Oryctolagus cuniculus: one gene and its partners. The protein of the gene in region 1 purifies or fractionates together with the protein of each later gene. This does not show direct contact. Links are inferred from orthologs where the notes say so. Each region holds a gene or a part of one and is shown on either strand. Other genes may lie near its edges. The genes, in order: DMD, SNTB1 and SNTB2.

Region 1 (10,828 bases):
AAATATCAGCAGGATGTTTTTTGTCTGTATGAGGAATGACCAAATTGCCTAAATCCAACCTGTTTTATTGTTTCTGGCCTCTGTGCAATAAACTACCATATTTTCACATTGGACTTATCTAAAGAGTATTCTCTTTTTTAAGATTTGTTTTTTTTTTTTTTTGTTTTTTTGTTTTGTTTTGTTTTGTTTGTTTTTTTGTTTTTTTTTGACAGGCAGGAGTGGACAGTGAGAGAGACAGACAGAGAGAAAGGTCTTCCTTTTGCCGTTGGTTCAGGCAGAAGTACAGAGAAAAGAGGAGAGACAGAGAGAGAAAGAGGGAGATATCTTCCATCCACTGTTTTACTCCCCAAATAGCCTCAACAGCCAAGGCTGGCGCCAGGCTGAAACCAGAATTTGAGCAGCCGGACCTCGAATCCGTGTCCATACTGAATGCCGGCTTTGCAGTCGGAGGCTTAATCTACCACGTCACAATGCCAGCCCAAACCTGTGAAATGTATGCCTTTATACAACATCTAACATTTCAAGCAACATGAATCACTATGGAGAAGGGAAACAGAAATGATCCAAAGTGATTTTCTCAAATCAATACATTTATGAAATGTATATAACTGTAGCTATCAAGACTTTATTCCCAGCGTATTTATTCAGTAGAGCTGTATTAATCATAATGCTTGAAACTGTGCTTAATGGTTAAATAAGTTGGGAAAATGATATAGTCCTTCCAAATTGACAAAAAGTAATGCTTTTAGGGTGTTTAATTACTTAACAGATTCACTCCTCATTCACTCTTAAATTTACCATATTCCGTTCTTTCTAAGTGTATGCCATAAGTTTTGTGATACACAGATTAATAGTTAATATTAGAGTATAAGCAGGGATGAGTCTTCATTTTACAACATGTGTCATAAAGCTATATGGTAACAAAGTATTTTTAAAATGCTGACATGTGTTTTCATAGTAATAAAATATGCTTTGCATTCTTCAAATAAAAGGTCTGTTTAATTCATATGCAAACAATTATAATCATATTTTAAATTATTTTAAAAGCATATACATATGTTCCATGTTCATTTTCAAGCATTTTTAAAACTGTTATTTTTAAAAACTGGCTTTAGAATGTCTGCTGTTTTTCTTTTCTTTGTGTAATCACATGCAAACAGGCAGTAATAGCATTATCAATACATTAGAAATGTAAAATTATAGTATAATAATGATGCAAAGCACTGTTCAAAAGCACAGTGTGATTTGTACAATTAGATGATCCAAATATTGGAAATATATACTGTCATAATAGAAGACTTATTGTGACAAAAATGTCAATTCTGTGGAAATTGAACTATCAGTTCAATGCAATGCCTATCAAAAGGTTACAGAAATATTCTGTAGATTTGCAGTTATTTGTAGATAAGCTTATTCTAAAATTTATGTAGTAAGACACAGGACCTGAAATTTCTAAAACAATTTTGAACATGAATAATGACTAAGAAGGAACAATAATATCTCTATCCCAATGCGGAGGTTTACATTATAGCTGTGTAGTTAAGGTGGTGTGGTTTTGGTAGAGGGGTGGACACATAAATCAATAGGAGAGAACCATTGTCGCAGAAATAGACTCGCAGGAATTTTCCCATTTGATTTTTGGCGAGGTTTCAAAATTAATTCCATGGAGGAAGGACAGTGTTTTCAATAAGTGGTACTGGGGCAACCAAATATCTAGACTAAAAAATCATCAAGTTAGATCCCACACCTTATAAAATTAGCTCAAAATGAATCCAATTAAAATGTAAATAGAAAGTGATAAAAATGTTAGAAGAGGGGCTGGCGCTGTGGCCTAGCAAGTAAAGCCGCTGATTGCAGTGCTGGCATCCCATATGGGTGCCAGTTCGAGTCCCTGCTGTTCCACTTCTGATCCAGCTCTCTGCTGTAGCCTGGAAAAGCAGTGGAAGATGGCCCAAGCCCTTGGGCCCCTGCACCTGCTTGGGAGACCTGGAAGAAGCTCCTGGCTCCTGGCTTCGAATCGGCACAGCTCCAGCCTTTGCAACCATCTGGGGAGTGAACCAGCGGATGGAAGACCTCTCTCTCTCTCTCTCTCTGCCTCTCCTTCTGTCTCTATGTAACTCTGCCTTTCAAATAAAATAAATAAATATTTTTTAAAAATGTTAGAAGAAAAAAATAGAGAAAATGTTCATGGCTTAAGGCTTGATTGAGTTCTTCAACTGAAATCTCACAGTGTATCCCATAGTAACTTTAAAATAAAATACATGCTATACAAAATGTATATCAAAATTTGAAAACAATTCTTAGACCTGACACCAAAATCATTGTCCATAAAGGAAAAAAATTGAATGATTTGAATAAATTTGATATTTTTGCCTTATAAATATCCTTTTTAAAGGATGTAAAGACCTGTTACAGACTGGGAGAAAATATTTGACAACCATGTATGTAACATAAGAATCATATCTAAATTATATAAAGCACTCTCATAACTCATTGGTTAAAAAAAAAACAAACAATGCAGTTAGAAAATGAACAATACATATGAACAGATTTCACTGAAGAAAATATTCAGGAAGAAGGAAATAGGAAGTTAACAATCAATGGGAGTAAAATCTCACCTAAGCAAGCTGAGTAAATTCTAGAACTCTGCTGTACAATATTACATCTGTATTCAATAACATTGGATGTACACTTAAAAACTGTTAGAGGGTATAGCCATAATAACATTTTATTGCAATAAAATAAAATTATTAAAATAATATATTAAGATAGCAAATAAACCATGTTTAATGCCAGTACTCATTAGGGAAATTCAAATGAAGGCCATGGTGATTTAACCCTACATGCTTAAGGCTAAAACAGAAATATAAAAGTGAGAACATCAAATGCTGATGAGAGGGTAGGCATTTGACCTAATGACTAAGACACTATGTGACATATTTCAGGGCCCAGGTGATACCTAGCTCCACACCTGACTCCATTTTCCTTCTAGTATGGACCCTGGAAGGCAGCAATGATGGCTTAAGTAGTTGGATATGAGAGACCTGGATTGAGTTCCCCACTCTGGGCTTTGGCTCCTGGCCCAGGGGCCAATGGATATATTTGAGTGAACTAGTGGATTGGGGAGTTTGTTCTTTCTCTCATAAATAAATACTTTTCAAGTGCTGGCAAGGATGTTAAGAAATTGGATCACACAAACATTGCCAGTAGAAATGTAAAATGGTAGAGTCACATTTGAAAGTGTTCTGTCGGTTTCTAAAAAAAAACTAAATATATACTTCCCATAAGGCCTAGTAGTAATACTCTTGAGCATTAGTTTAGATAGATGGGAACAAAAACCTGTACATTATTATTTTTGAGCTTTATTTGTAGTAACCATAACCTAGAAAAAAGTAAAATGTCCTACAATAGATGATAAAACTTTCATAGAATGGAATGTATGATAAACCATAATAATACTAAGCAAAACAAATCAATCTAAAAAGGTAATATGCTGAATAATTCCATTTATCTAACAATTTTGAAATGATAAGCTTATAGTGGTAGAGAACAAATTTGTGAATTGAATGTCAGCATTTAGGACAATTGGTAAGGGTTGTTAGTGTGACTTAAAGGGTTTGCATGAGGACTGTCTTATGGTAATGGAACAGTTGTCTACTTGACTGAGATTGTGGCTACACAAATCTGTACTTGTGAAACTATTATTTATATATATATATGCATATATATAATATTAATGTCAACTTGCTAGTTTTAATATTGTATTACAGTTATGTAGGACGTAGTCTTTGGGAAAAACAGGGGGGAGGTACATAGGACCTCTATACAATCTTAGCAACTGCCTAGGAATCTGTAATTATTTCAAAATAAAAATGAATTTTTCACAGTCCTTCTCTGCCAGTAGTTCAAAACAGGAACTTGAGCAAGCTCCTTGACCAGTCATCTTTATAATGGAGCTCCTAAGACCTAACTGATTTCATTATTGTGATGAGTAAATGAGAGAAATAAATGACAAAAGCCACAGAAAATAGTGACAAGGTCTGTACAGGAGTTCACTGTATTTGGGTTAAATGTTTTCTTATATGCCTTTCTCTTTAAAACCTTAAGGAAGGTATATGTATTCCACACTATGCAGAAGTTATTACAGATGCCAAATAAATTCTGATTACTGAATAAGAATAAAAGATAGTTAAAATGTATCAGGCATTCAAAAGCTTTCTTTACCCAGGGCACATTTTTGGTATATTTGGAACTACAGTTATTTTTAGAAACATATGCTTCAGGGTTTCTCAAAGTTGATGAAGCATTAGAGTCACCTGTAAGACACAGAGTGTTGGCTCATACACCAACAGTTTCTGATTTTCCGGGACTTGGGTATACTTGCTTTCTTTAAAGTTCACATGTGATACAGAATAGCCTAGTTTGTGAACTCAAGAACTATACATATGCCTTGTCTAAACATGAGTTTATAGAAAACTCAAAGTACAAGATGTAAAAGAACTTATACTCTGGACAACATTGTCCGTGAAAGTTCAGGGAGATACTTATGCTAATGAGCAGATATGAATCCAAATCAGCCCCAAAACATTTTTTTTCATTTTGTTTTAAGAAACTTTTGCTTATATGCATATCTCTACACTAAGGAGAGAAAATGAGATGGCCCATGGAAATGGTGTTTTTAATCTATTTTTAATCATAGTGATTTACATAAAATTACCTACAATTAAAATTAGACTTCATGTTTTACTTTATATAGAATTTGACAGGCAAAATGGCAGTATTATAATGATGGCATCCTAAATATAAAATTTATAATTGACTATTAATATAAACATTATTGTCTGATTCAATGTGTCATTTTTATATTTATCCTTTATTTATTTCTGTGCCAAGCAATTGAAAGCTTGACATAGAAAAATGAGTCTGTCACTTTAACAAATGGTACTATAAAAACACTCAAACAAATAGTTTTAGTAGGGATTATTATGATAGCAACACGAATATTTTTCTAGAAAGTGTTACCAATGTTTCCTATAAATGTTGGGCTCAGTTGATAAATAAAAATAGTAAGGAAGAAGATGAAGTCTTCCTTTGGCAGTGAATGATTTACAAACATGCTGGATGACACATTGTATTGGATACAGGCAAAAAAAAGGCTCTGTTGAGAAGCATTAAGTGATCATTAGTTAAATGCGTAAGAGAATGATGTTTTAATAATTTGCACCAAAGAAATTTAACAAGGAGTCATTTGTTAGTAAAGAATTCTTATCATAACCACAATTAAAATGCAGCATTTTAAAAGCGGTTTTGTTCCCTTCTAAGTGCTCTTTATTTTAGCAGAAAACTTGTTCCATGAGACTAACACACATTCTGCCTTCAGAACTTAGCTGCTACATTCTGCTGTTGCTTCTCTTATTCAGACTGTTGCAATCATCCATATACAACTTTTGATTGGATCCTGATGGTAAAAATTAACTTTGGTAGACAGTGGATACATAATGAATGCATAGATCATTCTGGGCATACCGTTGTATTCAGTAGAGTGAAGTTTTGGGGGTTCTTGGAGGGGAGAAAGAAAATCATTTAAAAGTTCATTCTGGATCAGAATTTTCAGCTCTGTTGTTTTAGAAATTTATGTAATGTTCTAGAAAATATTGTTATGGTTTGTTACTGAAGGCTTTTTGTCTTCAGAAGGCTTTGAGAGCAAGTACTTTATCCACTGTGCTATTCTGGTTGGATACTGATCACAACACAGTTGAGCATTATTTGAATTCACTGGGCTTTCCATGCTGGGAGCACAACCTTATATGTAGTGTCCATGGGCAGTCCTATTATGGGAAACCAACTTGAGAGAAAAGGCGGGTCACTTGCTTGTGCGCAGGTCCTGGAATGTGAAATATCCAAGGGCCTCTACAGAATCCTGGCATCAGTTACTGCGTTGACTCACTCAGTGTTGGGATCACTCACTTTCTCCTTACAGACTCAGAACTTGGAGGCAATTGCCTTCAGAGAAAAACAAATAGGAAAAACTGAAGTGTTATTTTTTTTGAAAGCTGCTGAAGTTTATTGGCTTCTCGTCATTCCTAAGCCTACTGGAGCAATAAAGTTTGAAGAAATTTTTACCAAGATTTTTATCACAGCCTTGATATATACTTTTTTTCCAAATGCTTTGGTGGGAAGAAGTAGAGGACTGTTGTAAGTACAAAGTAACTAAAAATATCTCTTACTGTGGTGTAACTTTTTGTTTGTGATAATCTCAATGATTAAGCAGGTTGATTTTAAATTATGGCAGCTGCTCGTGAATAATCTTAAATGTTCTATATACTGTATATATATGTATATATACTAAGGTGTATGTACTTCCCATTGGGAAAACTTTCAATAAGAAATGAGGTATATTTGGGTTTTTTTCAATATAGGCAAAAACATCTTTCTTCTTTAAGAAATCACTAGATTAACAGAAAATGTATAACAGGTCTGGAGTATTAGTACAGAGCAGTTGATTTCTGTGAAATAGTTTCTATATATATGAGTTATTATTTTGATTATTTAATACTTGTGTATTTAGTGGTGGTTCCATGTAGAGTAGTGACCTGACATATATTCTCAGTGAATTAACTGCTTTGTTGGAATGATATACAGGCCTAAAGATTAGAATAATGTTATGTGGCATACCTTGGTGGGGGGACAAAGAACAAAATTGCGTTGTGATGGATAAATGACAGATGCGAAAATATTGATAAAGGTTTAATTTCCTTTCTCACATTATATTTAGTGTTTTGAATTCTTTTTTATAGCATGAGAGATTTTTTTTTTTTTCAAATAAGTATGTGATCTACACTGGCAAATGACCAGTCTCTTGATGAGAAAACAACATAAAAACTTGAGGGATGTCTCATCATATTTTGTAGAAAACTGATCGTGTTGTTTCATGACTGTTGTGACCAACTAATTCAGTAAATATTTTTATTAACTTCTTAAAAAAAGAAACTATTTTGTTTATGTTTAAGAAAGTCATGATGACTAATGAAGAATTTAAAAATTAACTATGGCACAACAGTAAAAATGATATATAAGGACACTGTGTCCCAAAGAGGTGGTTGAAGGAGATTATCTTTTTCTTTTCCTGCCTTGACATGTGAATTATGGTCATTCTGAAATAGATATGAAGGTAATGTCTATAATTAACAATGAAAGATTAAATCTCTCCAAATAAGTAATAATATATCACAACTTCTACAAAAAGAGTCAGAAGTTTTGCCACAGAAAATTTGTGAAGTAAATAAGCACCATTCATTTCTTAATTCACATTAGATGGTACTAGATTTCATTAATATGACTTTTTTCATATTGTGTCCTTCAAAAATTTCTGTGGTGAGCATCAGCATCACTTCCTGATTGAAAAACTATTCCATCTAGTAGCATTACAAAAATACACATAGCTACACATGTATACAAATGCATATTTCCCTTGCTATTTCTAGTTCTTTCATATCATTAATCTATCAATATTGTCAAACTTATGATTGATTATCTATAGCTAATAAAATTAAAATACACCAATACATAGAGATATTTGGAAAGTATCACAAATATGCAATTCTGGAATGAAGTAAGATAAATCTATACTCTTCTTTGTCATAGATATTCAAATAACTTTTTAATACATTAGAATTTGAAAAGTTGACCTTAAAAAAAATGCTCCAAAAGGAGCATTTTAAAAACAGCAAGTAATACCTTTGCAACCTGACAATGAGTTTAAGAGAAAATAGAAATATTATCAGGGTTATATTATACATTAATTTTTCTATTTGACAACATGCTATTATTTGAGTGTTTAAACATTTGAATCCACGTTGTAAAATTGCCTTAGTATGAAAAACTTAAAAGAGCACATTTGATTGCTTTTTGACCAAAGTAATGGCCCTTTAAGAATATCACTGTAGTAATACACATATTGTTTGCTTTTAGAATTACTCAAATAATCCATTGGAAACAACTGCTCAAATAATTAATTGCAAATAGACATTTCATTTGAATTTTTAAATGATGCAAAGCATCATGAGATGTAATAAAATCACCTTTTAAAATTTCATTTGCAAAGCCCTCTTAGGGCATTTAACTATGAAAAAGAGGTTGCTGAACTGAATTGATAACATAGTTTTTAAGATAATAATCTTTTGGTGTCTCTTACATGGCATAACATTTTGGAAAATACAATAGAGCATGTTATTTAGATGTTACTCTTTTTTTAAAGGATGACCAACTGAGTTTTGCAAATTTAAGAAAAAAAAATTCTAGTTTGGACAGAGCTATCAATACAGCTTCCTCTTTAGTACTGTAGTATTTATTTGAAATCCTTGTAGTCCACCATATGCTACATGTGAACAAATTGTCAAGTTCTTAACTACTTATGTGATTTAATAAAATAGATTAAAATCTTTGTCTTGGAAAGTCAAGTGCTTTTTAAAATTCTATTTTATCTTTCATCAAGACTTTATCTAAACAGTAAAACAGACTGATATCCTAACCTCTCCCTCAACTTCCAACTTCTACTGTAATATTTTTACTTATTAAAAATAATTTTTCATGTTTTCATCAAACTATTCTTTATTTCACATCTACAAGTTATGTGTGAGTGTGGTGTGAGTATATGTGTTTATATATATGTAAATGCACACAATTTTAAACCACAAAGTTCTAAGTTTCAGAGGCTGAACAATGATTGGAAATTTCTTTCTTTTTAAAAAAAAAATCTATTTACTTATTTGAAAGGCAGAGTGACAGAGAGAAGGAGAGACAGAGAAAGAAAGATACCTTCCATCCACTGGTTCACTCCCTAAAGATCTGCAACTGCCAGGTGTGGGCCAGACCAAAGCCAGGAGCTAGAAACCCCATCCTGCTTTCCTACATCCCAGGTGCATGAGCAGGGAGGTGAATCTGAAGCGAAGCAGCCAGGACTAGAAACTGCACTCCAGTATGGAATGCTGAGGGCACAAGCAGTGGCTTAACCCACTGCACCACAACTCTGGCCCCTAGAAATTGATCTATCTTTAAGGGTAATTTTCTTTTCATGTTTTGGTGATTTTTTTTATGTTAAAGACACATCATTTTTAAATAAATTGACAAATAATGCTAATATATGTCCTCTGTCCAATAGAACATAATTAATCAAGAAGGAACAAATACAGGACTTGGCGGGGGTGAGATTATACAATTTGGAGGGGGATGAGCTGTTTTAAGAAAAATAATAAATAAATTATGAATAGCAAATCAGCTAGGGCCTTGGGAAGGGCCCACATAATTAAAACTTTAATAGTTTCATGGGAAATCACCTATGTTTGAAGAGACTCATGGAGTAAATCTTTTCCCAGTTACATTTTAAAATAAAATTAATACTAGTTATATTTCTTTAAAGCATATATTATTTCTCAAAGACAACCTTTTATTTAATGCAGATTAGAGAGTTGAAAGAATTTATAATGATAGGAATTTGACATTTCTGCCTTTCATTATGAAAATATACATTGATTAAAGTGATGTCAAACTCAGTTAATGGAGGCGGTGCAGTTATTTGAGATATACAGGGTATGCAATTTGAAGCCAAGCCAAATCACAATGACAAGGAATAATGATGACCTTGGTTTATTTTTATACAGCACATTCAGGTTTTGATTGGATTCAGAGAGAGGCAATGGTTTTCTTTCTCACACTGTTCTGCTGTCGTCCTCGGAGGTTTGTATTCTGTTATCAAGGCAGTTGGTTCATATTGGAACATTTTTTTGGGAAGGTCATAGGACACAGTATGGAAAAAAGACATTCACTGAAACCAAGTTCAATATTAGAATTTATGAAAATGTTTCTCTTTGAGTAGTATGTTCTACACAGAATACTGTTCTTCAAAAAACAGAAAAAGAAGCAAACATAAACTTTGTGGCCTTTACTGCCCCACTTAAAACAGCCATGAAACTTCTTTGCTTTTCATGCTATAAAATATAAACACATGTTTGGAGTTCCAAAGTTTTATTTTAATGGCAGATATGGAAGTTAAAATGGCAGCATCATAATGTAGTTTACTCTTTTGCCTACTTTAGAGGGGTTTGTCCATTTAAATTCCATATAGTATTGTCCCTAAAATCTTTCTAAAATTTCAAGCACCCTCTATTTAATATTAAAAGTGAACAAGCCTTGCAGACAATCTGATATCCCCTTTTGAATGGGAGAATCTCTGTGGTGTATAACCCCTATGCAAAATATAATTACCACATTAACAACTAATATGAGTTTGCTTACTTAAAATTATATAAAAGATTTATTTTCTTCCAATGTTACTGCATATTATAATATTCAATGTGCTTTCATAAACCAGATGGCTTCTCCAGAGATTCTTAACTACTTCAACACCCAGGGCCTGGTCTTTCTTTTTCCTCATTCAGTATTACTGACCTGAACCTGGAAGTGAGAGAGAGACCTAACCAAACAAAACTAAAACCTGGAATCTGGTGCTTTAAGGGTATCTGACATTTCTCCACAACAGTTTTGAAAGGCAGCAAACAGATGAGAATGAAGAAAAATGTCCCAGATGGTTCATGTTTGAAAGAGTCATCCACCTGATAACCATATAACCTCCATCTCATGCCCATTAAAAATCTAAAGGGTAGTTGTTCCCTGCCCCATTGCTCACATCTTCCACTTAAGACCTCCATTTTAAGAGAGAACTTTTGTCTGCCTTTGAGCTAAATATTTTAATCTGATATCACTCATGAGAAATATTTGGTGATTTCAGTAGGTAAAAGAAGGCATGAAGCAATTTTCAGAGGCCCCACAA
Region 2 (10,594 bases), on another chromosome or scaffold:
AGTTACAGAAAGATTTCTTCAGACACAGACACCTTTCGGCAAAAATTCTCCTAGTAATTTGACAGCCAACCTCTTTTGGAATCTCAAGAGTAGTTTAGCAAGATCCTGAATTAGTTATTTTAAATTTAATTTTGTAGTATATGGGGGATAGAACTTTGATTTCTTATCCTTTATCACTGTCCTACATCTTTCTATTTAGTTAGGCCAACTTGCTAAAGTTTTTAGGATATGGTGGGATATCTTGCCTCCTAGAATTTCACATTGGTTATGTTTGACATTCTTATAGATGCAATCAAACCTACCATTCCACAGTTTTCAAAAAGGATAAAATATAAGCCCTTAGGAAAAATGACAAATTTATATTGTGGATATTAAAATAGTGATATAAAGTTTATTTCAATACCAGGTTGTTATGGGAAGAAAGTAAAAAGTATAGAACTCAAGAAGATAGGAGATAAACAACTAATTACTTTACAGTTACAATTTATGCTAGCCTGAAAAATTCCCCACTCAAAATTCTAAGCACAGTGAGCAATCAAAATGCTCACCTGCCCAACTGCTTGGCTGAAAGTCAGCGGTGGTGTATCTAGTTTACCAAAGACCTGCAGAGGCATATGCAGGTGTCTCCTAACCCTGCTAAAATGATGAGGTACCTGTTAGCCAACTGGGCACACCTGAGAAGAAACTGCTCCGCCTCCTGTTCCTGCACTTCCCCCCTTCCCAATGCATTATCTTTTTTTTTTTTTTTTTTTTTTTGACAGGCAGAGTAGACAGTGAGAGAAAGACAGAGAGAAAGGTCTTTCTTTTCCATTGGTTCACCCTCCAATGGCCGCCGAGGCAGGAGCACTGTGCTGATCTGAAGCCAGGAGCCAGGTGCTTCCCCTGGTCTCCCATGCGAGTGCAGGGCCCAAGTACTTGGGCCATTACTTGGGCCATCCTCCACTGCACTCCCGGGCCACAGCAGAGGGCTGGACTGGAAGAGGAGCAACCGGGACAGAATCTGGCACCCTGACTGGGACTAGAACCCGGTGTGCCGGCGCCGCAGGTGGAGGATTAGCCTAGTGAGCCGGGGCGCTGGCCCCAGTGCATTATCTTTAAGTCATGAACTACTTATCTAGCATTAAATAGATTTGAAATCTGGAAAACGCGCCCAACTCATTTCATATTCAGCAGGACATCCACCCTGTTCTATCCATGTGTTCCTTTGTCTTTTCAGCTTTCCATCTCTAGGTGGGCCTGCCTGTAGCCCTCCCCTAGTTCTTTACTAAGAAAGTTTAATCAGTTTGGATTTACACAGGTAGGCCTTACCTTAGGGGTTTTGCAGTTTTCAGCTGACTCTCCTGATCCTCTTTCTTTCTGTTCAATACCCCCCAGGTAATGAATAGCTCTCCCAGTCCTCTTCTACACTGTTCACCTTGTGTCCGCTCTCTGTTCTGTGCATTGGAAAAATCCCCCTAGATTTGCTTAATTCTTGGGGCTGGGGTAGTGGTACAGCAGGTTAAGCCACCACCAGCAACGCTGCCATCCTATATGAGCACTGGTTAGAGTCCCAGCTGCTCCACTTCCAATTCAGCTCTCTGTTAATAAGCCCGGAAAAGCAGAGGAAAACCAAACTGCTTGGATCCCTGCCATCCGTGTGGGAGACCCAGATGGATTTCCAGGCTTCTGGCTTCTTGCAGGCACAGCAGCAGCCACTGGGGAGTGAACAAGCAGATGGAAGTACTCTCCGTCTCTCTCTAACTCCACCTTTCAAATAAGTCAATGCATCTTTGTAAAAAGTGCTCAATTATTTTCTTAAGGAAATAATATCAAAAGTACAATGATCATATTTCTAAACCTAAATATTGGAGCATGTGTTCTAATCAGTAGCCATTTCTTTTGTCAGTATGTACACAACAGAACTTTGTAGATGAACAGGTGAACACTATTCTTTCTACTACACCAACCAACATGCTCTTATGAATCTAAGTCCTGTCCATTCTGTAGGAAAAAGCACATCTCGGGGGTGGGGAGGGAGGGGCGAGGAGCAAAAGGATATGACTTTGGATAGGAGGGTATTGGGAGACAAAATTTAGGACAGAAAGAGGAAATATAACAGGTGGTAGAGCTAAATGGAAGAAACCTGATAAAAAGGGAGGTTTGGGTATACTTTCTGATATGCTAAAGTTGGACTGGTTTTGGGGATAACCTCAATGTGGAATTGCCAAGGATTTTACTATGTGGCCTGGGTCCTTCATTGCTCCACTCTGAGTTTAAAATAATTTCAAATAAAATGAAATAAATAAAATTTTTAAAAATCCAACAAATCTCCTAAGCTCACAAGATCACAATAGTCACCAATTTTGGTATACTAATATGTCTAAAGAAACAAAAAAGATGTGTCCAGTATGGAGGTCTGGGTGCTCTCTAACCTTGGATGAAAGGTTTTGAATACTCTCACCACAAAGAAATGATAAATATACCATGTGATGGATGTACTAGTACCCTGCTTTGTTCATTACATAATAATGCATCAATCCAATAACATTGTACTCCACAAATATGTACAATTATTAAGTGTCAACTTAAAAAAAAAGGAAAGCCCACAGACCACAGCTGGTTCTACCATTCTACCTATGACCCAGCGAAGGGAGCTTTAATGTCTGTTTCCCCATAAGAAGGCTGGGCTTAGTGCACAGATGAACACAGGCACTGTAGCTAATAGGCTTTGAGTATTTTCAAGAGACTATGAGACAGTGATTAAAGAGTTCAGATCCCTCATACCTATTTTCAAATCCTGACTCTGCCATTTATGAATTTCTTAACTGGGACAAGTTATTAAGCCTGTACCTCTACTTCTTCATCTGTGAAATGGGAAAGAATATAATTGTAAGTACTCCCAAGAATTGCCTGGAGGATTGAGTTACAATATATGTAAAGCACTTAGAACAGAGGCTGTAATTACCCTCCATTGGCAAAGCTATGCCTGGCTAACATGCATGCCTCAGGCCTAATTATATTAAATATTTATCTCCCCTCATTCTGATACAACTTGCAATAAACAACATACTCCTCTCCACATAGGTTTTCTCACACAGAAAAAAAAAATTGTGCTTTTCACAGAGATTCTAGAAATACCATCCTAAAGCCTGCAATTTCTTAATAATCTTTTTTAAAAATTTATTTATTTATTTATTTATTTGGACAGGCAGAGTGGACAGTGAGAGAGAGAGAGAGAGAGAGAGAGAGAGAGAAAGGTCTTCCTTTTCCATTGGTTCACCCCCCAATGGCCACCACGGCCGGCGCACTGCGCTGATCCACAGCCAGGAGCCAGGTGCTTCTCCTGGTCTCCCATGCGGGTGCAGGGCCCAAGGACTGGGGCCACAGCAGAGAGCTGGACAGGAAGAGGAGCAACCGGGACAGAATCTGGCACCCTGACCGGGACTAGAACCCTGTGTGCCGTTGCTGCAGGCAGAGGATTAGCCTATTGAGCTGCGGCACCAGCCGAGCTTGCAATTTCTTATAGTGAATTGATAAACTAGCTGTGGTTGTATCTTGGCCTCCCACATTGCTTGGCCACAGAAAAAAACACAGGCAGGTTGTTGATGTAGGGTTTCTGGTCCAAGGGCAGATCGGTTTTGATTTCTCAATCTTCACCCAGGTCTTCTGCTCTCTATCTCAACCTCAGTGTATCTGGGTTAGGATGCAGACACTCTATAGCCCCTGAAGAGTGAGGCTCCTGAGTCCTCAGCTTCTACAGCAGAGGGCCAGCCCCAGGTGGCTTTTTCTCAAAACAGTTATGCCAGCCATGCTAGCTCCCTGTCTGGTCCTGCACCTCACAAAAGGCTCAAAAGTCCCAGGAGCTGCCATCCCTGATGTGGGCACCTTTACATAAAGGCATAAAGTGCTTTTAGAAGTTGATGAGCTAAAAATAATACAAGGGCATGGGGGAGAGCGGTAAGTGGAAGCATTAATCCAAGGGCTCTGCCCAATCTGCAAAAAAATGTTCAGGTGTTTTCAGTTCCTTCTGTGGCCCTCGCTGGAACTCCACTCTCTAGGAATTCATCTGAGTTTTTAAGCATCCCTGATTAAAAGTGTGAGGGCTAAGAACTTTCAATGATAAGACACATCAGGTGTTCAGGAAGAGTTCTCTCCTTCTGACGCCTTGCTGTGTTGCCTTTACCTTCAGGGATTAATAAATTTGTGAATATTGTTTTGTTTTTGGAGAGAGTGGAAAGAAGAGTGGGAAGGGAGTGTAGCTAAGAAGGGCTTTGAATGGACCCTGAGACCACTGGTTCAGTGTGTGTGTTGGGGGAGGCAGTGGAAAACCTGAAAAGTTCAAGGGCAGGGGAACTCCGGAACATCCACCTATGGCATGGACTATGTTGGCATTTCCGGATTGGCCAGGAAAGGTATCCAAAAAACTAACACTGTTACCCTGAAAAAATGCAACACGAGATGCAAATAAGTAACAAGCAAAGGAACCCTGCAGATGCAAGATACTCCATCTGAGTTCTTGAATAGGAGAGCTCTTGTATGGTGTCTCAAGAAGGAGAAAGCAACATGAAGCATTCAGTGTGGGACTGTGGCTGGAGAGACAGGTCAGAAGCACAGAGCACGTAATGAATTCCAGCTGGAAGAACGTTTGTCCCTGGGGTCCAGGCAGGCTGTGACCTGTTGAAAACCCCAGGCCAAAGGAGAAACCGCTCCAGAGCCCGAGTAGAACAGATGTGTTGCATTGAAGAAGAGGGTTAGACACGTGGGTTACGCGCTTTATTCTAGGACCGCGGGGGCAGCTTTCCTTGTTGACCCTGGGATCGCCCAGGCCCTCGGTCTGCGCCTACCTAGCTTCCCGAGAGTCCCTTTGAAAGGAGGGACAGGTAAGCACTGAGTGAAGCGCTGGTTTGGGGAGACCAGGGACCAAGGAACAATTCTACCCGCCGGGTGCGAAAGGGAAAGGGATAGGGAGGATCTACTTGGATAAACCCAGGCAGGACGCCCACGGTAAAGGAAAGGGGGCTGCGGCGAGTGGAGAGACGTGAGACGCAGAAGGCGCTGGGGTGGCCGTCCCCGGGTGCCCAGGTCTGGCGGGGTGTGGCGGCGAGTGACCGCTGCGGCTGCTGGAACAGGTGAGCGGCGGCAGGGTGCGCGGTCCCCGCCCTTCCCGGAGCGTGCGGCGCCCTACGGACTCCAGCCAGCGCCTAGCTGTTCCGCGGCTCCCCTTGGCGAGGGGTTTTGCAACTAGCAGCTGGCTGCCTTTTTTTTTCCCTCCCCTGTCTAGGTCTCTCCTTCTTCTTTTAGGTTGCTCCACCCCGCCCAGGATCAGGCGAGGGGGAACAAGCCAGCCCCGCTGCGGCTGCCAACCCGCGCCCAGTGCGCCTGCGAACTCCCGGAGCGGAGTCCCGCGCGCCGCCGCGTCTGCACCGGGCGCGCTCTGCTCTCTGCCCCGGACCCCGCGTCCTGCTCCCCGCAACCCTTCCCCACTTTTCCCCCTTTTGCAATCACATGGCGTTTTAAGAATGCCGGAAAGATGGCGGTAGCGGCGGCGGCGGCGGCGGCGGCGGCTGGGCCGGCAGGCGGGGGAAGCGGCCGGGCTCAGCGGAGCGGGCTGCTGGAAGTTTTGGTGCGGGATCGCTGGCACAAAGTTCTGGTGAACTTGAGCGAAGACGCCCTGGTTCTGAGCTGCGAGGAGGGCGCTGCGGCGTACAACGGCATCGGGGCAGCCACCAATGGCTCGTTCTGCAGGGGTGCCGGGGCCGGGCACCAGGGCGCGGGCGGCGCGCAGCCCCCGGACTCGCCCGCCGGGGTCCGCACGGCCTTCACCGACCTCCCGGAGCAGGTGCCCGAGTCCATCTCGAACCAGAAGCGCGGCGTGAAGGTGCTGAAGCAGGAGTTGGGCGGTTTGGGCATTAGCATTAAGGGGGGCAAAGAGAACAAGATGCCCATCCTCATCAGCAAGATCTTCAAGGGGCTGGCGGCGGACCAGACCCAAGCTCTGTACGTGGGCGACGCCATCCTATCGGTGAACGGAGCCGACCTGCGGGATGCTACCCACGACGAGGCGGTGCAGGCTCTGAAGCGCGCAGGCAAGGAGGTGCTGCTGGAAGGTAAGGGGTTAACGCCGCGCTGGCCGCACGCACCTGCGGGTTTTCCCACCCGCACCCCAGGGACCCGGCCCTGTGCGTGCAGGTGAAGGCGGCGGCGGCTCTTGGGATTTTTGACAACTTTTACCCAGCTTGGGGCAACGTGCCCCTCCCAAGGGGGGTGCACGGAAAGACAGGCGAGCGGGGTTTCAGGGCCAAAAGGTATGCTTAGTGTGCGATGTTTCCTTTTCGTCTGCGGATAATCCAAGTGTAGTGGAAGGGGCTTTGAGGTGTTGGGAGCGTCGCGGAGCGGATCCGCTCGGTGGTAGCAATGCAGTTTTCTGTTCTGCACAGTTTCCCACTCCGAAGCCTGCGCTAGCCCGCTGACAGGACTGAATCATGGAGGAGCAGGAGAGAGCGAGCAATATTTCAATGCCAAAACTCCGGTCCATCCTTCTCTATTTCCCGCCTGCAGTTTGGAGAGCGGGCATTGTGCCCGGGGAGTTGTGCCAAGGGCTAAGAGATGTGTTGCAATTTTAGGCAAAAGTTCACTTCCCCTGCCGGGTGTTTGGCCGGTCAGTCTGGATTCCTGGCTCCTCTGGGTGCGGAGCTGGAGCTGGGTGAAGTGGTTTTTCTGCCTGCATTTTCTGGAGCTTTTTCAGAAAGGTGTGGAAACAAATTTGCCCTTTGGAAACAGTTTCCCCTGAGCGCAAGGACTTTTTAGAAACTATCTTCTGTGGTCTGATGCCTCTCATTCCTTCGTCACCGAGTGTGAATAGAAGAAATAGCGATTTGTACCGATTCTGGAGCATGTGGCATTATGCAGGAGAAGAGAGCAGTGAGATAGTACACTGAGCACATGTTCTTTGCTGTAGCTGCGTTTCTCATTTGCTACCTGCTTTTCCTCCCGCTCTGCGTGCCTCTGCCGGCACTGACGCCACAATGTAGTTTGTCCACTTATCCAAGGCCCCCTTTACCTTACAGAGTGAATCGTCCAGAGTCCCTCACTTAGTTAAAGGTCTGTCCTGAGCTTGGGTATCCGATGACACGCATACCTTGTGAGTGAAGAAAGGAACTTGGCTATGAAGCAATATTCAAACCAAGACTTGGTGAAATGGCATCGATTTAAGTTCTAAACTCGGGACGTAAGTCAGGGTGCTGGGTGTGTGAATCTGAGAAACTTCAGAGTTGGGAAACCAACTTTGCACTGTGTGTGACAATTCAAGCAACTCCCTAATGTGTGAAGTCCCACCTCTTGGCCTAGAAGACAGAGGGCTTCTTTTCTCCCCCTTATTTGTCTAGAGGATCTGTGATGTCTTTATATTTAATTACCACCCTGGATCCAGAAACTGGAAGTCTGTTTGCTTTGGCTTGATGATTAACATAAGTAAACAACAAAGTTTTTTTTTGATTCAACTGTGTGTTGCTTTGTGTGAGGGGACAGGTGGGATCTGCAGCAAGTGTAGCTTGTACTCTAAACTGTTGGGCAGTTCTTCAATTTGCAAATACTTACTGTGAATACTGGGGGAAGGTGCAAAAGCCAGGCTATTTTAATTTTAGAATATCTTGTATGTTGTCCCTTTTTCTTTCACTGCCAAGTCATTATTCATTAAATTGAAACCAAAGAGGTTAAAAACAAAACAAACTCCCATCCAAAAAGAGGAAGAAAATGTGACTCCCTGTGGTTGAAAATAAACCTAGAGAAGCAAAACACAAACAAAAATCGGTAGCAACTGAAAAGGGAGTTGTGTGAAAATCTCTAACAGGACATTCTTAAGTTTTGTTATGTTGCAGGCAATACTTCAGGATCAAGACCTGTGGGCTTCCTAGACAGGAACCAACCTGTGCCCAGTGCTGCATCTTATCCCCAGTGAGAGTTTTCCGAAATCTAATAAGAGGAGCCAGGGGAGGTCCTGCATAAAGCAATCTCCTGTTAATGAGCTAGTGTTGGTCCTGGGTGCTATGGCAGCAGTCACACACCGTGAGGTCAAATGCAAATGAAATCCTCTCTTCTGCGGCTTGGCCTAGTGCAGAGTCCCAGTTGATGTGACTTGTTAGAACCAACTCAAGGGGTTTTGAAAGTCCCTTCCATTCTTCCTCCTGTTCAGACATGCAGTGTTCATTCCAGAATTTCTACATAGAAGAGGCTTTGGGAATGTAATCTGGTTAGACATGGTGGCTGAGGGAGATATTTTAAAGATATTTTGTGGCAAATTTACAGTTTTTAATAGGTTGCTTTTCTGTTTGTCTTTTGAGGGAGTTGAAGATTAGTACCCCAACCTCTATGACTATGCACCTCATTCCATGACGTGTGCCCTCTAGTGGGGAGTTCCTGCTTCCACCTGTGGAACACCCTGAAAACTGAAACCCTCAACTGGCGAATTTCGCTGCCTAAATGCTAATCCTTGGTTCAGGAACAGAATTTATCATAACCTCTCTGAGCCTGAGTCTTCATCTGAAAAATGAGAATAAGGAAACCTATTAGAACAGCTAACTTGGGGCCGGTGCCGTGGCTCACTTGGTTAATCCTTCGCCTGTGGCACCCGCATCCCACATGAGCGCCAGGTTCTAGTCCCAGTTGCTCCTCTTCCAGTCCAGCTCTCTGCTGTGGCCCGGGAGTGCAGTGGAGGATGGCCCAAGTGCTTGGGCCCCTGCACCCGCATGGGAGACCAGGAGGAAGCACCTGGCTCCTGGCTTCAGATCGGCGCAGCGCCAGCCATAGCAGCCATTTGGGGAGTGAACCAATGGAAGGAAGACCTTTCTCTGTCTCTCTCTGTCTATAACTCTACCTGTCAAATAAAAATAAAAAATTTAAAAAATTAAAAGAACAGCTGTGGGGAGCAGCTCGGACTAGACTAAGTTACTGGAATTAAGACTTATTCTATGCATCTGCTCTCCCACAATAAGGCGCTGGGAGAGGAGAAAACAGCTTCTACCCAGCTGCCTCCAGTTCAGCCAATAAACAGCAGGACCTGCTCCTGATTGGAGGAGAGCAGCGTACTCGGCGTGTGGGCAGCCAAGTTGGGATTGGCAGAGGAGGACTATAAAGGAGGAGAGAGACGGCATGCACCAGGGAACATCTAAGGGGAACATCTAAGGGGAACACCTGTGCAGCCCCCCAGAGAACCGGCCGGCGGTGTGCCGCTCCCCTGCGGAAGTGGGGAATGTGGCCAGGGGGAACTGCCCTTCCACGGAGGTGGAAGGGACAGTAGCCAACCCGGGAAGAACCAGCAGCAAACCCGGGGAGGGCCGAGCAGACGAAAGAACAGCGCAGGGTCCTGTGTCGTTCCTCCACGAAGAGGGGGAGCGACAAACAGCCAACTTTACAGAGCCACTCCGTGAAAGAGCACTAAGAATAAAAGGCCTGTTCCCAATGCCTGCTGCGAGTTATTTTTACAACTCAAGTGATATGATGGAGTTGCCTCTTCTACAGGATAAATCCTCTCTTCCTTTACTGATCTTTTTTATTCAACTCTTTATAATAAAATTTTAATTCTGGGATATCATCCCTTTGGGGCCACAGGAGTTAAAATAGCATCTTGGGAAAGAGTCATAAAAATAGCTAACATTTCTTGAGCACTTAATATGTGCCAGGCTTTATGGCAGGTGTTCATGTTATATTTATTGTACCTCTGAGGCCAGTAATAGTGTTGTTCCTTTTACTGATTAGGAAATTAATGTTTATAGACATCGGATTATCTGCATGGAGTAAGTGGGGAGAAGGTTTCCAGATCTGATTTAAAAGCACGTACTTTTAACCTTTACCTTTGTGCTTCTGTGTGGATCTGTATGCCTGAGCCAGTTGAAGTCACAGTGCAAGGCATCCTCCTCCACACCTCAGATCCTCTGAAGTGCTTAGTTCAACGCTGAGCAGGAAACGGCGACCATGTGAACTATTTAGAAGGGTGGGACAGGAAGTAGGATATAGTCTTCAAAACCTAGTGCACTAAGTCTCTAGCTGTCGGAAGGAAGTGGCTGATCTGACCCAGCTCTATGTTGAGACCCATGGCCAGCAAGGAGACAAAACTGTAACTCAAACTTGACTAGAATATTTGGCATACCTTATGTATTACTTAAGATCAGAGATGTTCACACTAAGAACTCATTTCTCATCTTAGGTAGGGAGTGGGGTCAGGGACCCTGGATTCAGCCAAACAGGTCCTGGACCCCATAGTCTCATGGGCACCGTTTATGTAGACTCCAGTGTGAAGGCCTGTGCTGGAGCTGGGCAGGGCATGTGTGCACGTACTGCCTTGGCAGGTCTAGGAGAGGGAGGAGTTCTCAGTCCATGAATTAATGGTAAATTCATAATTGAAATAGGTCAACGTATTTACAACTGACACTGCAAGAAAATGACCTTCCCCGTAACTTTGGAGATTGGGAATGTGGAGGTGGAAGTAGAAACGGCCATGCTTGGATCCCCGAGGTGTCTGGTGGAACTAACTGCAATAAATGGAAACTCAAAGCAGAGAGTCAAGGAGACATGTTGACACGTACCCAGTCCATCAGAGATCACCTCCCCACCCCCTACC
Region 3 (10,722 bases), on another chromosome or scaffold:
TGACCATTATCTGCTGAGTATCTAATAAGTGGCTGAACTAGAATTTGAACCTCAGGCTCTTAATTATGCTATACTGTATTTCACTGTGAGGGAACAGGAGGTGAGGGAAGACTATTGGATGTGAGACAGCGTAGATCAGAGCCTGAGTTACAGGATTGTAGGATGAAATCAGAGAATGGAGAGAGCAAATCCATCTCCCTGTTTAAAGTAGCAATGATCCCTGCCTGTTCTGAGAAATAGATAACAGCTTGATCAGAGGAGAATAGATACTGATAGGTGACAGGAATGAAGTTATTTGGAATTATCTCAACCACTTCCTTTTTTTAGAGGTAGATAAAGTAACATGCCTGTTTAACGAATTATCTGGGCTTGTCTCACTGTCCTTAAGAAACCATGGAAACAGATGTATACTCTTTTTGTTTCAGATTTCATTATCCACAGTAAGTAGATTTCCACGAACTCCTTGAGATTTCCTGGATGGCAATTTTCACTCTGCGAGAAACCAATAACTTTCAGAGGGATTACTTGAAAAGACTACAATGCAAGAAGCACTGAATTTCAATCCATCACTTGTCTAATGAATTCTTTCTCTGCAAGGCAATATTTTTAGAATAGTGGGGAATAAAAATAAGTTGATGGGTGGTCCCTGCCCTGCTATAATTTATAATCTCTTTGGGCAAACCAACCAGGCATATAATTAAATTAGTCAAAGAAAAAATACTAGCCAATTGGGTGGTCAGGATTGGTGGGAAGGGAGTCTAAGGGGCAGGAGGTATTTGAAAGGAAGAACCTTGGCCGGCGCTGCGCTCAATAGGCTAACCCTCCGCCTGCGGTGCTGGCACACCAGATTCTGTCCCGGTTGCCCCTCTTCCAGGCCAGCTCTCTGCTGTGGCCAGGGAGTGCATTGGAGGGTGGCCCAGGTCCTTGGGCCTTGCACTGGCATGGGAGACCAGGAGAAACACCTGGCTCCTGGCTTAGGATCAGTGCGATGCGCCAGCCACGGCAGCCATTAGAGGGTGAACCAACGGCAAAGGAAGACCTTTCTCTCTGTCTCTCTCTCTGTCCACTCTGCCTGTCAAAAAAAAAAAAAAAAAAGTATTATACTTAACAGGCTCTTCATATTAAAAAGAAACAATGGGAAAGGAAGGACCAGGCCACTGGGAGACACTGGGTGAATTTGATTAATCCTGAAGTATTGATGAGAATGTTGAAAAGTTCATTTCGGTCCTGAGGAAGGGCCTTATAAATGTAGCTTGATAATTTGGATTTTTTAAAAACTATTTATTTATTTATTTGAAAGGCAGAGATACAGAGAGAGGAAAGAGAAGAAAGGAAGAAAAGGAGAGAGAGAGAGAATCTTTCAACCCCTGGTTCATTCTCCAAATGGCTGCAATTGCCAGGACTGGGCCAAATTGGAGCCAGAAGCCAGGAACTTCTTCCAGGTCTTCCGCATGGGAACAAGGGCCCAAACACTTGGGCCGTCTTCCGCTACTTTCCTAGATGCATTAGCAGGGAGCTAGCTGGCTAAGAAGTAGAGAAGCTGAGTTTCAAACCAACACTAATATGAGATACCAGCATTATTGGTGGTGACTTTACCTGCCATACTACAACACCAGGCCCTAGTTGGGGATTTTTTTTTTAATGGAAATAATCCAAATACCGATCTCCATTACCTTCTCCTAGGATTAAATATTTTGTTACATAACTTGCTTTCTTAAGTAAGTACTCTCACTTACTATTGGTTGGAAGATCTGTAACTTCCTTCAACTCTATTAACAAAAAGGTCTTAATACTCTAAAAATTTCCAGTACTTCCTTTTGCTAATAAAGGTGTCCTCAAATGTGCAACCTTTGGGTGATTACATATGCAGAGGTGTTAAAAATAACGCTCAAACTCCAAAGAATGCACTGCCAAATGCTCTCTAATAAGCAAAAATTTCCCATAACTCAGGTCTCCTGGGGCTCATGCCTCCGCTGGCGCACAGCCAGAAATGTCTGTGACTGCAGGTGCACTTGGGCACGCCGGGACCTCTAGAACAGTGAGCTGACTCCAGTGCCGCTGATTTAGGAGAGGGCTGGAAGGTTGAGCTTTTGCTGACATTTGCAACTTGGAAAAGCCTGCTCCACTAATTGCAGTGGAGATTCTGTCATCATGATTTCTTTGGTAAGGTACTTTTCTCATCTTTAATTCTTCATCTGGACTCTGGATGCTTCCGAGTCTCTATTTATACTGTTTAACTCCTGGTGCAGGAAGCTCTTTGTAAGCTTCTGCTTGCACATGCACGTGCACTTGCAGAATGATGCATGGCTATGGCCTACGAGCCTCAACGTGTACATCCTGAACAAGCAAGAAACCAATGCCCTTTACAGGGACGGCTGCACACTGCTGTTCTCACAGCCTGTTGCTGCCTAAATGAGAGTAGGGATTTTGCTTTTGCTGCTGAAGGAAAGTTAAAGAACATCTTGACCTCATAAATTTCCCGAGAGTTTCCGATTTCAGCAGTGTGTTTCTGGGCCCTCAGAGTCCAAAGTTTGCATTACAGTTCCTGAGGCTGCCCATCTGTACTTGCCCCAACACGAGACCATGGCCTCTAGGATAGGACAGTCCCCTCTACAAAGTCAGGTCCAAATTCCTGGATATTTGATATGAGGCTTTTCACATTCAAATCCAGACACACCCACTGAGCCTGTGCTCTCTTCACATTGGAATTCTGTCATCTTCCTGAGTACCCATGTGCGATGATTACGTTTATGTGTCAACTTGACTGAGCTAAGGGATGCCTGGATGGCTGGCGGAACATTATTTCTGGGTGTGTCTGTGTGGGTGTTTCTGGAACAGATTAGTGTGTGAGTGCTGAACTGAATAAAGATTCCCCTTAGCAATGTGGGCAGGTATCCTCCAATCAGGTGAGGGCCTGAACAGAACAGAGGGAGGGTGCATGCACACTGCCGGAGCTGGGGCTTGCTTAGTTCCTCACGGTTTCCTGCCCCTATTTCTTAGACCAACACTGAAACCACACCTCCAGGCCCCACCCCGTTCTGGGGGCCTGCCGTCTCAGCCTTACAGCATTGGTTTCCAGGTGCTCAGTGGTGGGATTGGAACCGCACCATCAACTTCCCTGGGGCTCTAGTTTGCAGTGGCAGATCCTGGTACTCGGGGTCGCCGTCTAGGGACAGTTCCTCAGGATGAATCTCTAGTGTGTCTGTATATCCTACTGAAGTGTTGCTCTGGAGAAGCCTGGCTGATACATTGTGCAAACATCTTTGAAGCCCGCCTGGTATGGCCCCAGGACTTAAGAAGACAGCGTCCCCCTCTAATTACAGGCAAGAAAACGGGTGATTACGAAGCAGGGTGACACCGTCTTGGAATCATGCCTCTAGACCATGCATATGCTGTTCCATCTGCTCCAGCTATCACCCTCCATTGTCAGCCTCTGTGATGCGGACCCCGGGACCAAACGGAGGCCCTTTTTAGTCTGCTCCGGGGGAGTTTTCTATACATCACTTAACCACATAGTATCACAGCTCGTTGGGTTGGCTCTGCATTTTCCTTCCCCACCAGACCGCAAGCTTCAGGTGTGGTATATTTGATTCAGCTTATGGCCAGCGCCACAGAAGGGGCCCGAGTGCACAGCTCACACGAACAGAGTAAACCAGAGCAAGAATGAACGTGCCACTTAGTCTGGCAGGCTTGCAAGGTGCTTCTCCAAGCTGCTTTTACTTTCTGTGCCTACGCAGCTCCCGTGCATTGCGCGGGAGAGGTCAGCAGTTTGGGGGCCTGTAGGGAACGCAATGGGAGGAGAGTGTGAGATGGAGCCTCCCCTACCCCCCACCGGGGGCTACCCACGTCCCAGGAGCTGTAAGGCGCAGGACAGCCTCTTAACCTCCCGGAAGCCGCTCCGCCGGCCTCGCCCCGCCCCGCCCGGGAGGTGGGCGTGTCCCTCATGAATAATGCATCGCCGCGGGGGAGGGGCCGGGCCCGCCCCCTCGGGCGGGAAGGGGGAAGCGCTGAGGCTGCCTGACTGGAATGAGGGTAGCTGCGGCGGCGGGAGCGGGGCCGGCCATGGCGGTGTGGACGCGGGCCACTAAAGCGGGGCTGGTGGAGCTGCTCCTGAGGGAGCGCTGGGTCCGAGTGGTGGCCGAGCTGAGCGGGGAGAGCCTGAGCCTGACCGGTGACGCCGCGGGAGCCGACCCCGAGCCCGCTCTGGGGCCGGCAGCGGCCGCCTTCAACGGCCTCCCGAACGGCGGCGGCGCCGGCGACTCGCTGCCTGGGAGCCCGAGCCGCGGCCTGGGGTCCCCGAGCCCGCCGGCGCCGCCGCGGAGCCCCGCGGGCGAGGCGGGCGCGTCGCCGCCCGTGCGCCGGGTGCGGGTGGTGAAGCAGGAGGCGGGCGGCCTGGGCATCAGCATCAAGGGCGGCCGCGAGAACCGGATGCCGATCCTCATCTCCAAGATCTTCCCGGGGCTGGCGGCCGACCAGAGCCGGGCTCTGCGGCTGGGCGACGCCATCCTGTCGGTGAACGGCACGGACCTGCGCCAGGCCACCCACGACCAGGCCGTGCAGGCGCTGAAGCGCGCGGGCAAGGAGGTGCTGCTGGAGGGTGAGCGGGGCCGGCTGTCCGGGCGGGCGGGCGGGCGGGGGCGGCCTGGGCCCGGCCGGGCTGCGCCGTCCGGCGCTCACTTTGTTTCTGCCCCCTTGGCAAGGTTGACCCAGCCCCTCCTCCTATCCCTCGGAGCCGGTGTCCTGGGACTCTTGAGTGTCGAAAAGCTGATGCTGCTTGCAGGAAAAGTTGGGCCGGCCGCCGCCGACGTGTGGCTTGCAGCCCCTGGGCAGGACTACTCGGCGGAGATGGAGCCGAAGGCGGCGGCGCTAAGCTGGCGCTAAGAGCTGCGGCGGGACCCGACGCGGCGACTCCGCAGCTCTGCGTGTGTGCCCGCTCAGAAGTGCCGGCCTGGCGCTTTCGGCTCTCACCTCCGGGCTCCCCTGGGCGGGCGGGTCTATTAAAGAAATAAAAATAAAACCCAGCTCCATCGATGCCAGCAGTTGTGCTTGGGCAAGCCACCAAAACGTTAGTTAATTTATGGGAATTTAACCCATCGTTGGCTCTCAACAATAACCGGCGGAGATCACAGAACTCCATTGAAGCCGGAGAGCTGAAGCAGCAAGTCTTGTGTGGTTAATGAGCCTTGTTTAACCGTGGAGGCTCACGTGTTTCAACACTCACTGCCAACCAGAGTTTTGCCCCTTTTGCAAGAGAGCGCTGCCAGCTTCCTAGCGCTCACAGGCGTGCTGTTCCGAGACTATTAGGCTTTGTCGAAGCGACTTGAAATGGCAAAGCACAAAACAGCGTTTAAACAGTCTTCGGTCTGTGTGTGATCTATAGGTTGGAGCTTTTGATGATGCGTTTATGGAGCTAGGGCAGAATGAATTCTCTCCGGCTTCATGGATGTTGGACTTGGTATTTTTACACGAAATTGTAAATGAGAAGTCAGTTGCTTCCCTCAAAAATTGAACTGTTGATTCAGTCCTTGAGAAGCGTGTGTTGTTGACTGCGTGGAAGAGAGGAAAAATGACGTTCCTGTCCCTGTTTGGTCTCTGGTTGGGGAAATAATAGAAAAATGCTGAACTTTGGGGGAGAAAAAAAATCAACTTTTTAATTTTGTGGTGCAAACTATATAGGAATGCCACAGGAATGCGAAGTCAGCAGATCATTAATGGAAGTGCGATTGGTCAGGGAGGACCCTTTCAAGTGTCTGAGTTTTGCGCTGGGTCTCTGAGGAAGTGATGGACGTGTACTGGCAGAGATTAGTCAGGAGGATATATTTGGCAGTGTAAGAGAGCGGGGGAAGGCTGGGATGAGGGGGACCAGTCGACAAATCGAGTCTTAACTTTGGCAAAATGACTTTTGCTTTTTTACAGATCTGCTTGCAAAGATTTGGAAAAAATATTAAGTTTGCAAGTAAATGATTTAAAATGTGCTCTAGTTGTGAAATTCCAGTGTCCCACCTTTTTAATGCCCTATTTATAAATTTTATTTATATCTCATTTGGAGGTGGGGCTAGACACAGTTTGGAAATTCGAATTAATAAAAGGAGCAGAATGGTCGGTTGTGTGTAAAAAAATCATCCTAAATATGTATCTTAAAATGAGCCTAGCTAAGCATTTGGTTATAAATTCTTAGAACCACAATATTGAATTTAGTGCTATTTATGTAGTACTCACTGGAACTAGGCAAACAGTTCAACCTCTTACTCTGTATTGCAAAAACCAAAACAATGGTTTTTATTTAGATGTAGTTTGAACTTGAAATTCATACTAGTAAAATGAAAACCACTTAGTAAATTCTTCTCAGTATTCATTAGTCTAAACTAGGCTACATGTGGTTTTAGCAAGAGTGTTTATAGATTGCAGTATAATTAATATACTTATTAAATGCCTTTTCACCTAATATGTAGACTATTTTATTTTCCCATTTTGTATAAGACAAGCAGTTTCTGATGGAACAGAGACATAGCCCACCTAAGACATAAAAAGGCCCAGCCCCTAGGGTCTGGGCCCTCTGCCACGTGTTCAGTCTGTGTGTGCACTGGCAGTTGGTTGCCCACCTCTGCAGATTTGTTTTCTCTGAATAAATTCGGCCTGGCTGTGAGTTTGTATTCTGTCTCTTCTCTGTTTTTCTTACATTTGGGTGCCCTGTGTGAGGAGGCACCAATCTGCCCTCTTTTTCTTATAATTTCTGTCTCTAGGTATGGGGAAGTCAGTATGGTGGGTTTATGCTGAATTCTTAAACCAAGGCGTATAAAAATAGAATTACTCAAAATATGCAAAATCACACACAAACACAAACCATGGTTTGAGTGAATCAGTCAAACATTGTTTAAGTCTCAGAGCCGCTGTCCCATCCACGTGGGCTATTTTTAAGAGACAGATTTTATTCTTAGTCCTTCAAGTTTTTAAGCTCCACTCTCCTTCTGTTAGCTGCCTTAGAAGTCAGTGATGCCCTTTTGGGGTGTGGCAGGGCATTTCAGGCATGCTCTTGCCACCCCCATGCCAAGGACAGCTATGTAGTCTCTGTTTGCCTGGGGTGAGGGAACAGAGCTCAAGGGTTCTATTTTATCTCAGGGATTTGTAAGGATTGCTCACTCTTTCACTCTTTCATGTTTATTCAGCTTTCCTCACGGGCTAGAGACATTGCAGATACCGGATTCTTGCCCTCAGGAAGTTCAGAGTTGAAGGGGAGGGGTAAGAGGGAGAGAAGGCAGGGGCAGGTTGGTGGTGAGAGAATGCAGACAAATAAAGAACTGTTACAGTGAAGTCTGGAGAGGACACAGCATAAAGGAGGGGGAGGTGTATATGGGTTCTCGATGGGAGTAGCTCCTAGTGGGAGGTTGTGGGTGCCTGGAAGTTGAAGCTGAGCCTTCTCCTAAGAAGGGAGCAGTGGGTCCAGTAAAGACACAGAAGTGCAAGACACCGAGACGGTGCTGTATCCAGCAGGGGTCGAATAGGAGCCAGGGCTTTGTGGTCAGAAGCAGGTTTCTGGCCAGTGGTTTGTAACCCCTAGGCAAGTTACTTAATCTTGCTCAAGCTCAGCTTCCTCGAAATACCAGGATGGTGTTAATACCTCCCTCAAAGCGTTGTTACTCACTTGACAATGTATGTATCCAACAGCAGCAAGGAAAGTCTGGGTGAGGCAAGCAGCACTGGGTACACCCTAAATTAACAACAGGGCCCTGTCACAGAGCCCTGATAGCAAATCGTTTAAATAAAATCCAAGCCTCGTTTTAGTGAAAAGAAATGCATGCTAAAAATTGTTTTCTGTGAACAGGTTAAGAATGAGTTTGTATGTCTTAGGTGCAAGATTATGGCACCCAGGGCCGGCGCCGCGGCTCACTAGGCTAATCCTCCGCCTAGCGGCGCCGGCACACCGGGTTCTAGTCCCGGTCGGGGCGCCGGATTCTGTCCCGGTTGCCCCTCTTCCAGGCCAGCTCTCTGCTGTGGCCAGGGAGTGCAGTGGAGGATGGCCCAGGTGCTTGGGTCCTGCACCCCATGGGAGACCAGGAAAAGCACCTGGCTCCTGGCTCCTGCCATTGGATCAGCGCGGTGCGCCGGCCGCGGCGGCCATTGGAGGGTGAACCAACAGCAAAGGAAGACCTTTCTCTCTGTCTCTCTCTCTCTCTCACTGTCCACTCTGCCTGTCAAAAAAAAAAAAAAAAAAAAGATTATGGCACCCAATATTATTTAATTTTGTTTTCCTGTTTTTCTACTATTTCTTACATATACTGGTGTTTTTATTCCTTAATTTTGCATTTAGTTTCCTCTCCTTTATAGTTTTCACTTCCTTTCACATTTACTTCTCAGAACCTTAAAAGTTGTCATTAAGTATGCACTCACAGTTTGGGCTAGTACTTGTTAACATTGGTATTAGGTCATGCAGAATAAGTAGCCTTTCTATTAATAATGCAGATTGTTAGCATAAAGGGGTAATTCTGCTCATCTGTCAGATGTTATACATGGAATTTCTGTGTCCTTTTGTGTTATAAGTCCAAGAGATTTCTAGAATTTATATTTTTAAGGCCATGAAGCTGACTAAATAAATATGAGTTAGACTACGTGTTGAAAAGTTTTCCAGAGGAGGTTTGGGAAGATGGTATAAAGTATCCAGCTTGAGATCTGAGTAAAGATCCATACTTTTGAAGGAGTTGTCACTGGACTATTATTGGAAAGTCATAATAACTTTTTTTTTTCCTATATCCATTTTTTTCCCTCTGCGAGGCCTCGGTGATTTTTGTATTTGGAATGATTTGAGATTCTGAGTGTTTCATATAATGTGACCTTCTATGTCAGGAGACTTTAAACAAATATTACTGATATTATTAGGCTGCTAAGTTAAAGAAGCTGGTTTGGATTTCCACTGCTTCCCTTTCTTCATTGTATATTGAACTAGTTTCCTAGGGAAAACATTTAACATTTTCTTTGGCTTTATAGCCTGTCTCTTAAAGAGCAACTAAATTATTGACTGTTTGTGTTTTTGTGCTTCTCTTTTTTTTAATTAGCCTCTTTATGTTTCACTTGAATGATTAAACATGTTTATGAGAAGCTGCCTTTGTAACCAGATTCTTTTTTTTTTTTTTTTAATTTATTTGACAGAGTTATAGACAGTGAGAGAGACAGAGAGAAAGGTCTTCCTTCCCTTCCATTGATTCACCCCCCAAATGGCTGCTACGGCTGGCGCTGTGCCGACCCAAAGCTAGGAGCCAGGTGCTTCTTCCTGGTCTTCAATACGAGTGTAAGGGCCCAAGCACTTGGGTCATCCTCCACTGCACTCCCAGGCCACAGCAGAGAGCTGGACTGGAAGAGGAGCAACCAGTACTAGAATCCGGTGCCCATATGGGATGGCGGTGCTGCAGGCGGAGGATTAACCAAGTGAGCCACGGCTCCAGCCCCTGTAACCAGATTCTTACAGAGTCGCCTTGATGTTATGATATGCCCTCCAAGTTATTTCCAAAATATGAGAAGTTGATTGATTCTAATACACAGTAGCTGTGAACATTCTAAGAACACCTTTAGGAAACATACCCAGGCTTCAGCTGATGTATATTCATTCCCTGCCGTCTAGTCTTTCCCTTTCAAAAATTACTTTGTGATCAAGTATGTGTCTTGTTTATAAAAGACACATGTTCCTATGGCTATGGAACAGTTTTCTGGTGTTCTATGCTGACTATTCAAGGATTGTTTCCGGCTTGGTTTGCCCACTATCTTAACTGAACACCAAACAGCACTGCTTGTTTGCATTTGTCTTTTTAATTGACAAATAAAAATGTACATATTATGGAGTACCATGTAATGTTTTGGTATATGTATATGTTGTATAATTTCATACCAGGATAGGCATATCTGTCTCCTCATTTATCATTTCTTTGTGGTAAAAACGTTCCAAATTCTTTTGTCTAGCCTTTTTGAAACATGATACATTATTATCTGTATGCATTTCTGTGAGTGTTTTCTCACTAGATCTATATGCAGTCCTTTGAGATAGGTTGTTTATCTTTGTTGTGCAGATATTTAAAATGAGTTCACTAAAGTTAAATGAATTACTGAAGGTCTCAGATTTTCTTTAATTCTTAGGAACAAGAGAAAATCTTTCATGAATCTTTAAAAGTTGTGAATTCTCACCCTATACATAAAGAATTAGCAACTAGAGAAGTTAAGAGACATGATTAAGACCACCTAACAGGGGCTGGCATTGTGGTATAGCAGGTAAAGCCACCACCTGAGATGCTAGAATCCCATACAGGCACCCATTCAAGTCCTGTGTGCTCCACTTCTGATTTAGCTCCCTGCTAATGCGCCTGGGAGAACAGCGGAAGATAGCCTAATCCTTGGGCCCTTGCACCCATGTGGGAGACTCGAATGAAGCTCCTGGCTCCTGACTTCAGTCTGGTACAATCCCAACCACTGCAACCTTTTGGGGAGTGAACCAATGGGTGGAAGATTCTCTGTGTGTGTGTCTTCTCTCTCTCTCTCTCTCTCTCTCTCTCTCTCTCTCTCTCTGTAACTCTGCCTTTCATATAAATAACTCTTAAAAAAAAAAAAAAAAGACCACCTGACAAATTAGTGGTGGAACTTGGATTAAAACCCAGTACAGTGCTTTCTTTCCTGTACCATGCCACCAACAACCAGTCAGTTAGATCTTTTAGCATCTCCTGTATCCCATCATGTTACAGT

The links.
Region 2: the proteins of DMD (region 1) and SNTB1 purify together in Homo sapiens (co-immunoprecipitation; 4 studies listed by BioGRID and IntAct, counting the BioPlex papers as one, with this or other methods). This does not show direct contact. The link is inferred for Oryctolagus cuniculus from reciprocal best matches to the Homo sapiens genes DMD and SNTB1.
Region 3: the proteins of DMD (region 1) and SNTB2 purify together in Homo sapiens (co-immunoprecipitation; 4 studies listed by BioGRID and IntAct, counting the BioPlex papers as one, with this or other methods). This does not show direct contact. The link is inferred for Oryctolagus cuniculus from reciprocal best matches to the Homo sapiens genes DMD and SNTB2.

The regions. Positions count from the first base shown.
Region 1 is NC_091453.1:19,805,595-19,816,422, reverse strand, and holds the start of DMD (dystrophin), read left to right. Parts: upstream 1-5,378; 5' UTR 5,379-6,164; coding exon 6,165-6,195; intron 6,196-10,828. UniProt on the Homo sapiens protein: Anchors the extracellular matrix to the cytoskeleton via F-actin. Ligand for dystroglycan.
Region 2 is NC_091437.1:146,578,477-146,589,070, reverse strand, and holds the start of SNTB1 (beta-1-syntrophin), read left to right. Parts: upstream 1-5,288; 5' UTR 5,289-5,509; coding exon 5,510-6,086; intron 6,087-10,594. UniProt on the Homo sapiens protein: Adapter protein that binds to and probably organizes the subcellular localization of a variety of membrane proteins. May link various receptors to the actin cytoskeleton and the dystrophin glycoprotein complex.
Region 3 is NC_091449.1:52,275,501-52,286,222, forward strand, and holds the start of SNTB2 (beta-2-syntrophin), read left to right. Parts: upstream 1-3,974; 5' UTR 3,975-4,026; coding exon 4,027-4,597; intron 4,598-10,722. UniProt on the Homo sapiens protein: Adapter protein that binds to and probably organizes the subcellular localization of a variety of membrane proteins. May link various receptors to the actin cytoskeleton and the dystrophin glycoprotein complex.